Coturnix japonica: one gene and its partner. The protein of the gene in region 1 purifies or fractionates together with the protein of each later gene. This does not show direct contact. Links are inferred from orthologs where the notes say so. Each region holds a gene or a part of one and is shown on either strand. Other genes may lie near its edges.

Region 1 (4,102 bases):
TCTGTAACACAAGCCACTGTACTTTGGAAGACACGAACCATGGAGCACAGAACAAGGCATACATACTGTGCAGTTTAATTTGTTCAGACAACATAAAAGTAATGCTTCAATAAAAGCCCTGTAGAAACAGAGTTGGGCAGTCTGGTGACCTTGCATGAAAGCGATCTGTCTTGACAGCACAGACACAGCCTTCTCTCTTGCTATCAATCCCAGGGCAGCTGCTAGGAAGGCATGCGTTCTCTTGCACAGAGAAACTAAATTTGGGAACCTCAATCCACTGCATGCAAGTGACAGTTTGAATTTCACATCCCCTTGAGAATAGGAGGGCATACGAACAGCAATGTCTGTGCTTCAGCTGACCAACTTTAATAACAAGATAATAAGTGTCTAACTTACAACTTAATCAATTAATATTTGAATGCTCCCAAATTACATAAATACTTCAGCTTTTTCCCGAAATCTACTTGCTGACTTGATGAATGAAAATTAAGCGTGCTGAAATAAATAAGCAATTCAACCATTATGTAAATACACAGACAAGTCCCCAAATATATCACAACAAGCTTTCCTTAAGCCATACTTGCACAGATATAACATCTGGAGAGACCGACTTGTTCCACATCATCTCCCATCAATAACTTTACTTCCTACGACAATGAAGTAACAGAGAAAGCAATTTGGAGAAGTCGGTATGTAAATATTATGAATACAACACACTGGATTCACAGAAAACGTATGGAATAAGCTAAGTATTGTTTCAATGTTTGAATGGCCTTTCTGTTCACAAAGTACACTAATCACTATTAACTCTCTATTCCACAGGCCATCCAGGCCACATAGCATTGCCTCACAGTTCCGACACTTGACAGATAGATCTCCTTATCAGCAGAGGTATCAAATATAACGGCTGTCACTCTTCCCAGAATTCCTAATTGTTACTATACATAAAAGAAAATGCACTTTCAATTCAGCCTTAGCGAGTCTGAACTTGCTACAGATTATTTTATAAACTAAATCACAAGACTTGAAAATATACATTACTTTCTAAAATTCAGTTAACAAGTTATGTTCACAATATCTGGTAGTTCCTTAGCTGTTTTTACATCAGTAAATGTTTTGCTTAGGGGGGGAAAAAAGAGAGATAAAAGCCTCACCCCGCTTTGTTTACAGTCTAACAACATGTTTATTCTATCACTTCCCTTTTAAAACTGCATTACAGCTGGTTCCTCAAACCCTACAGTAACATCAGCTGTTCTCAGCACTACAGTAAACAACTGTATGGAATACAGGGGACTACGGAATTCACATTTATCAGTGACAACAACTTCTCACCTTTATATTGCAAGCCACAGCCTTGCCATCATCGCCTTTAAACATCAGTTTCATTCCTCGCAGGGCATTCATGGCTTTAATGAAGCCTGCATACTCCCGATACTGAACGTAAGCCTCAAAATTTAAATGGCCTCCGAAGCTGAATGTGTGAAAGTTTCTGCCAGTCATTTCTTCTCTGTAAGGGTCCAACATGGGTATGTCCACGTTACGTATTTCTCCAAATTTCTGGAAAACTTTTGTCAGGACTTCTTCACTTGGCTTTTCTGAGCCAGAGTCCTTTGCTGCAAACCACTTACAAGGTAAGCCTTCTAGATGAATGGTATCCGGCCTTTCTCCTGGCAAAGTTTCATTCATATCTTTTGCATCACGGAAAAACGAGTCCCAGTCGTGCCTGGTAGGAAAGTCAATCTTGTATTCTGCGGCACGGACTTTTAAGATGTCGGAGAAGCCACTCAGTTTGATCGTTTTTCCATCAAGGCACGCAAGAAAAGACTTGACTAAACTTTTGTTTTCAACCTCTCCTTCGAACCGGATGAAATCCATCGTGCTTTTGGAAATCCGCAGAGTGGAAAACTGATGGGTTTGTACCATCCCTTTCAGTCTTTCCATCACTTCCCAGTTCGAGATGGACTTTCCGGGTTGTTTCAGCTGAGGAAGTGCCACACTGATGGTCATTTTTGTAATGGGTTTAAGGTATAACCCACAGGGAGCACAGAGCTCTACGGCTTCTGATGTATCATGAACTATCGTTGCAGCAGCCATAACACAGAAAAAGCACAGGATAAGAAAAAAATAAATAAAGATGCAAGTTTAAAGTTGCAGGCTCACAGTAGTCAAATAAAACAGCCCTTATCCGTAAACATTCTTTGGACATTTAACCATTCCCAACCAACGTCTCTTAAGACAAGAGTCAATTACCGAGTTAAAACCGAGCAGCACAAACATCTTAAATTACTTTACAACCACCAGAACCTACAAATAATTAAAACTCAGCAAGGCCTCAGAAGAAAAGGAGCTGACGGCAATCTCGGGCACACACGAAGCCGGCGAGCTCCCCCGGCTCCGGGGAGGAAGGAACGGGAGCGACCTCAGCCCGCTCCGAACAACAAACGCACCCACAACAAGGAGCGCAGCGGCGGGTGCCTCGTTCGCCGGCAGGAAGGCTCCTCGCCAGCAGCCTGCAACGACACAAAAACACCCCTTTACATAAAGGCCCGCAGCCCCGCCACCGGCCCTCGGCAGCCTCACCCCTACGAACTACGACAGCGTTCCCAATGTCGACACCAGCGGCACCCCAACAGAGTCCGGCGGGGGCACGGCTCCCCGCCCTCTCCCCGCCTCACCCGCAGACCGGGCCGGGCCGGGTGGGACCCCCAGGAAACAGCCTCCAGCCCCGCGAGCAGCCCAGAGGAGCCGCCGCAGCTTCCACAGCAGCTTCCGCTTCCTGGCCGTGCGCGATGGCGGCCTGCGCGGCGGCGGAGCGAGGAGGAGCGGGAGGTGGAGCATGTGGAGCGGGCGGAGGCTGTGGAAGCTGGGCAGTGATGGCTGTGCGGGGCTGTGTTCGCAATGTCTGCGTTCTCTCTCAGAGCATAGTCATAGAATCGTTGGGGTTGGAAAGGACCCACGGGGAAATGGTTTTAAGTTAAAAGAGGGAAGATTTAGGTTGGATGTTAGGGGGAAGTTCTTCACTAGGAGAGTGGTCAGGCCCTGGAACAGGCTGCCCAGGGAGGTTGTGGATGCCCCGTCCTTGGAGGTGTTCAAGACCAGGTTGGACGGGGCCCTGGGCAACCTGATCTAGTAAATGTGTATGTTTGGTGGCCCTGCCAGGCAGAGGGGTTGGAACTACATGATCCTTGAGGTCCCTTCCAGCCCGGGTCTATTTCTATTGCTGCATGCCACCAAAAAGACTCTACCTCCACTGACCTGACTCCTGGACTTCGGGTGAACAGTGATGAGACACCCTCAGAACCTTCTCCAGAGTGAAACACCCCAAGTCTCAACCTTTTCTCATAAGGGAGATGCTCCAGGCACCAGTTATCTTTGTTGCTCTCCACTAGACTCTCTCTAATAGCTCCCTGTCTTTCTTGAATGGAGGAGCCCACAACTGAACACAGCACTCCAGATGTGCCCTCACCAGGCCAGCACATTGTCCATCAGGACACCCAGGTCCTTCTTTGCAGAGCTCCTTTCCAGCAGGTCATATCCTGTCCTGTACTGGTGCATGCAGTTATTCCTCCCTAGGTGCAAGACTATTCACTTGCTCATGTTGAACCCCATCAGGTTCCTCTGCCCAACTCTGCAGCCTGTCCAGCTCTGGTTGAATGGCAGCACAGCCTTCTAGTGTGTCATCCACTCCCCCCAGCTCTACATCATTATACTTTCTGAGGGTAGACTATCCATTCATCCAGATTGCTGACAACTGTTGTACAAGCTTGGACCCAGCACTGACTTGTGGAGAATACCACTAGTTACAGGCCTACAACTAGGCTCTGTGCCATTGATCACAGTGCTCTGACTAATGTCTCCAGGCAGGAGGAGCACCTCCGAAGGAAGACAACCTTTCACTTGCTGCTTTCTGACCTTTCTGACAGCTTGTGGTTTTCCTGAGAATCAACTCAATGTCACGTCTGTGAAAAAACATCACAAAACAACAGGACAGAATTTGTTTGTATAAACAACTAGTGTTATTTAGGATGCTGTGAGATATCCAGGCCACATACATGGGGCTGGACAGTCTCCATAGAGCTTGCATACTGTCAGCTGGAGGCTG
Region 2 (4,291 bases), on another chromosome or scaffold:
AAACACACTCAAACAAGGAACAGAACAGCAACACAAAACACTGAACTTTAAATGTAATTGAAGACACCAAAAGAGCAGAGTTAAAGCATTAGGTAAGTTCGAGCTTTTTAGGAAAAAGGAAAATGTGTTACATTGCAGAGTAGCAGCTTTGCGGACAGCAGGTCCAGCACACAGAACTTACTGTCATGTGTAAGTTCACCCACAGAGATATTTTCAACTCCTTACCCTCACTGGGAAAGCCCCAGTACCCTACAGCATCCCCGCTTCCAGCAGGCCTTGAAAATCTGGAATGATTACCTAGTGCTGGATTTTTTGTTATTTTCTTTAAGACCCAGCAAACTCTTCTTTTTAATTCCCATTAACTCTGTTTCCCCTTCAGAGGTATCCAAAGCAAAACAGGCCTCACTTGTGCCAAATCTCAGTTCTAACCCCTTGCTTCTGAGAAGTGACCCCTAATTGAAAGCAACAGAGCAGCCAAGTGACAAGGTAAGAGTGTTCAGAAACAAGATGAACAGACACAGAAGAGCAGAGCTGCTGTGCACCAGTGGCAGCACACCAGAGGACAAGTGTGTTCTCCAGGGCACTGCAGCCAGGCACAGCACTGCATGGCAGTTACATCCAGCCCCTGGGCCAGCTCAACCTTCATGGAATACAGACCTGTATGCGTGTTTAAAGTTACAAATTGTGATATTCACAGAAGTACAAAAGACCCTCGCTATGTGCTCCCCTTGAAGGCACACAGAGGACATTCATCTCCTACACACGGCACACATGCAGCTCCTGCCTCTTGACAACATCCTCATCTCCAGAGGAAGCTCTGGTTTCTTCCATAGTCACCCTGTGCAGCAAAGCACATGCTTGGCAGGAAGAGATGGCTGCTGAGTAACAATATAGGCTGGTTCATTGAGCAACAGAGATCAGTATATTAGTTTGAGGAGCAATATATTAATTCAGCAAAAGGAATCAATGAGCACTAGTCCTAAAACTCTCCACTTCTGCTTTGCCTGGTGTGTGATCAGCCTTGTTTTCTCTCAATTCCCCTTCATAAGCAGCACTGGAGTCACGACAGACCACTGGTCATTGTATTTCACCAGGGGCAAGGACGCTTTCCTTGGATTTCCACACACGTTGTTTTGGAAGTTGCCCATTATGGCCTAAGAAGCAATGGACGTTTGCAAAATTGGGGAAAACCAGCTCCAGGTGAATCAAAAATGTCAGTGATGGAACTGATGGTGGAAAAATGGGGACAAAGTAAGTGGGCATACAACCAGCAACCACCCTCAGTGTAACTGTGCATGCCCAGAGGAACACGAACATACATTAATGAGTTATTGGAAGAGAATGAACGTGTGTGCCAGTGTGCTGCATGTGTAACTATTAACTGTTTACATGTAAAACCTGAACTCTGACAGCTCAATTCCAAACATTTCCTATGAGAGGGCTGCATCTATCACATACTCTAATGATCACCCAGTTCCACCTCTCTGCAAGATGGGAAGTGAGAGCTCAGAAGCCCAACAAGTGCTTTGCTAATGTCCTGCCTGCTGCTGGAGAGCTGGGAAGAGCTGCATGTAAACAGCACCATCAGCAGCACTCCTGTGTGCACCCACAGGGCTGGCACTTACCAGACTAAACAGCCAAATGCTGCTTACACATCCAGCAACCTCCTGTGAAAGGCTGCTTTTAGGCAGCCCTTAAGGTAACCAGTGTTCTTCTTTCACCCAATGAACACAGACCTTTCCCAGGACAGTTTTAGTTGGAAAGATCAGCCTGGGAGATGCAGCCTCTGGGCACTTTCACTTGTAGGTGCTCAGGCATTCACTAAAACACACCTCCATAAAGAATAACACCGCAGCATGAGCACATTAAAACAACACAAGGAACTTCTAAGCAACATCCACCCTTCCAAGAATGGAAACCAAACCCGACATCCCCAACATCTCAGTGTCTGTGCAGCACCCAGCCCAGCCCAGCCGGCCTCGGGGCACTCTATTAAGCTGCCCATTCCCTGCACACAGTCAGCTATGAGACCTATTCTTACAGAGAGCTGCAGCCAAGGCAACGACCTGGGCTCTCCCTCAGCCTTCCTGCAGGGCAGGCGCGCCCTGCAACGGCAGCTTGTTTATAGTTATATGAACAACAACTATAGCAAAGTTTTCCTCGCGTGATTTAAGGTCAGCCCGCTCGGCAGCTCCTCTCAACGCCCCCGGCCCAGCTCATGGCAGCGCGGGGCCCAGAGCGGCCGGGGCTCAGCCGCTCTCAGGCTGCGGAACGACGCCGGGCACAGCGAGACCCGCGGGTCGCTCCCGACTCGCTGCTCTGCCGCTGCCGGGCGCCGGGACCACCAGGCCCCAACTCCGCTGCAGGCCTCAGCCCCGGCTCCGCCCCGGCCCGGCCTCCCGCCTTCCTCCCCGCCCCCGGTAGGCCGCGGCGCCATCCCTATCCCCCGCGTCCATCCATATCCCCTCCGTCGGCTCCCGCCCGCTCCCCTGGGCAGCCCCGAGATGCGGCGGTGCCGCCCCGAAGCGGCGGCGGGGCGGATGGAGGCGGATGGAGGCGGATGAAAGGCCGATGGCGGCCGATGGCCGCACGGCGCTCAGCCCCAACACACTCACATCCTCGGCGCTCTCAGCGCTCCGGGCCCGGCGCGCGCGATTGGCGCAGAACGAGCGGGAAGAGCGAACGTGTGGCGAGCAGTGATGACGTCACCAGGGGGGAGGAGGGGAGGTGGGCGCCTTAAAGGGGCCGGGCAGGGGATCCATGTTGTCCTGCTGTCACGGTCTGTGGGCGGCCCGTGCCGTTATGGGCACCGCCATGTCCGCCTCATCATGTCCGTGATGGCTCCTGACGAATGGTGACCTTCCCAATGCATAGCTGGCTCTCAGTGTCAGCAGCTGGACGTGAGCCTTTCCCTATTGCTCCAGCAGAGCACAGCAAGGGCTGAACTGGCTCTTAAAGGAAATAAGATCTCAGTGGGTGTGGGTGCAGCTTTGGAATGGCCACCAGCCCCCCAGAGAATACAACAGATGGAGGTTCAGCTGAGATGCTGCATGGGACAGCAGACCAAGTGCCAGCGCTTCTGGGGATGACACTGGGGTGGGAGAAGCGGATTTACGCTCATAGTTAATGATGTTTAATGGGCCACAGCACGAGGGGAAAGCTTTGAGCTCCCACTGCTTTGGGGGGTGTCGTGGTTTTGTACTTGTTGCTGTTGGTAATTCCACATCATGGCTGAGGTGACAGACACTGCACCACGTCCCACTGGTGACATGGGCACTGTGCGCAGCCAAGGCTGCGTGGAGGCGGCCAAGGTGCCACCAGGGACATGGAATGAGTGGGAGGGGACGTGGGGAGGTGAAGCACAGAGGCTCAGGTCAGCAGTTCCAGCAGGCAGGAGGCACTAAGAGCTCAGTGTTTATTGGTTTTGCTCCGATCACGCATGGTTCATACAAGGAACGGGCTGACTCTGCTGTGCACACAGACACGTGCTGCTGGAGGCTGCCTTGGGAAGACTTCCAGGCACCCTGAAGCAAGGCCAGGGTACCCAACTGCCGGTGCCTGGATGGCCATGGGAGGTGTGAGGTTGTTGGCTGTCCCCAGCCTGTGCCAGCACCCAGCTGTGCTGAGCTGTGCTCAGCCGTGTATGTGCTGCAGCAGAGGCATCTCTGAGCTCCTCCCTGTGTTCACAGGATCTTTTCATTTTACTGCTACTTCTACAGCGCAGGCTGCTGCGTGTGCTGCTTCTAAAGCTACTTCCGCAAGCAAGTCTAACATGCACTGCCCTCCTGAAGCTGGAGACTTCCGTGCTGCTTCCAGCAAAGCGCTTTCAGGGCTGCTGGCCTGTCCCTTGTAGGCTGAGAGATGTCAGGCATTTGCTGCTTGGGTGAGGGGTTATGTGCTCATCCGAGGGGCAAGGTGAAGTATTCAGGCTGGAGTTTGCAGCCCCAGTGAGGACACGCTTCCCACCCTTAGGATTAAATGTTGGGCCTTAGGAAGACTGGGTGAGCTGGGGCAGAGCTACAGGAGCTGCAGGCTGTGTGTGCTGCCAGGAGTCTGCCTGGAAGGGCAGCACCACTCACAGGGCGACCCTGGCAGCCATTGTCTGCTTAGAGGCTATTTCCAGCACCTTTATGCTGCTCATCTGCATCCATTCTAGATGAATCCCGAGGAAATCCTCACTATTTGTCCACTTCAGCTTTTTTCCTTCCCCCATTGCTGGCTGGAATGGCTGTCAACTGTGAGATCTGTAGGGGTGTTTTTTTCTATTTTTCCTGGCAGACTAAATTACTAA

The links.
Region 2: the proteins of AKAP17A (region 1) and RNPS1 purify together in Homo sapiens (co-immunoprecipitation; 4 studies listed by BioGRID and IntAct, with this or other methods). This does not show direct contact. The link is inferred for Coturnix japonica from reciprocal best matches to the Homo sapiens genes AKAP17A and RNPS1.

The regions. Positions count from the first base shown.
Region 1 is NC_029516.1:116,242,508-116,246,609, forward strand, and holds the start of AKAP17A (A-kinase anchor protein 17A), read right to left. Parts: upstream 2,801-4,102; 5' UTR 2,676-2,800; exon of another isoform or gene 2,511-2,675; 5' UTR 2,095-2,510; coding exon 1,333-2,094; intron 1-1,332. UniProt on the Homo sapiens protein: Splice factor regulating alternative splice site selection for certain mRNA precursors. Mediates regulation of pre-mRNA splicing in a PKA-dependent manner.
Region 2 is NC_029529.1:12,010,149-12,014,439, forward strand, and holds the start of RNPS1 (RNA-binding protein with serine-rich domain 1), read right to left. Parts: upstream 2,801-4,291; 5' UTR 2,618-2,800; coding exon 2,616-2,617; intron 1-2,615. UniProt on the Homo sapiens protein: Part of pre- and post-splicing multiprotein mRNP complexes. Auxiliary component of the splicing-dependent multiprotein exon junction complex (EJC) deposited at splice junction on mRNAs.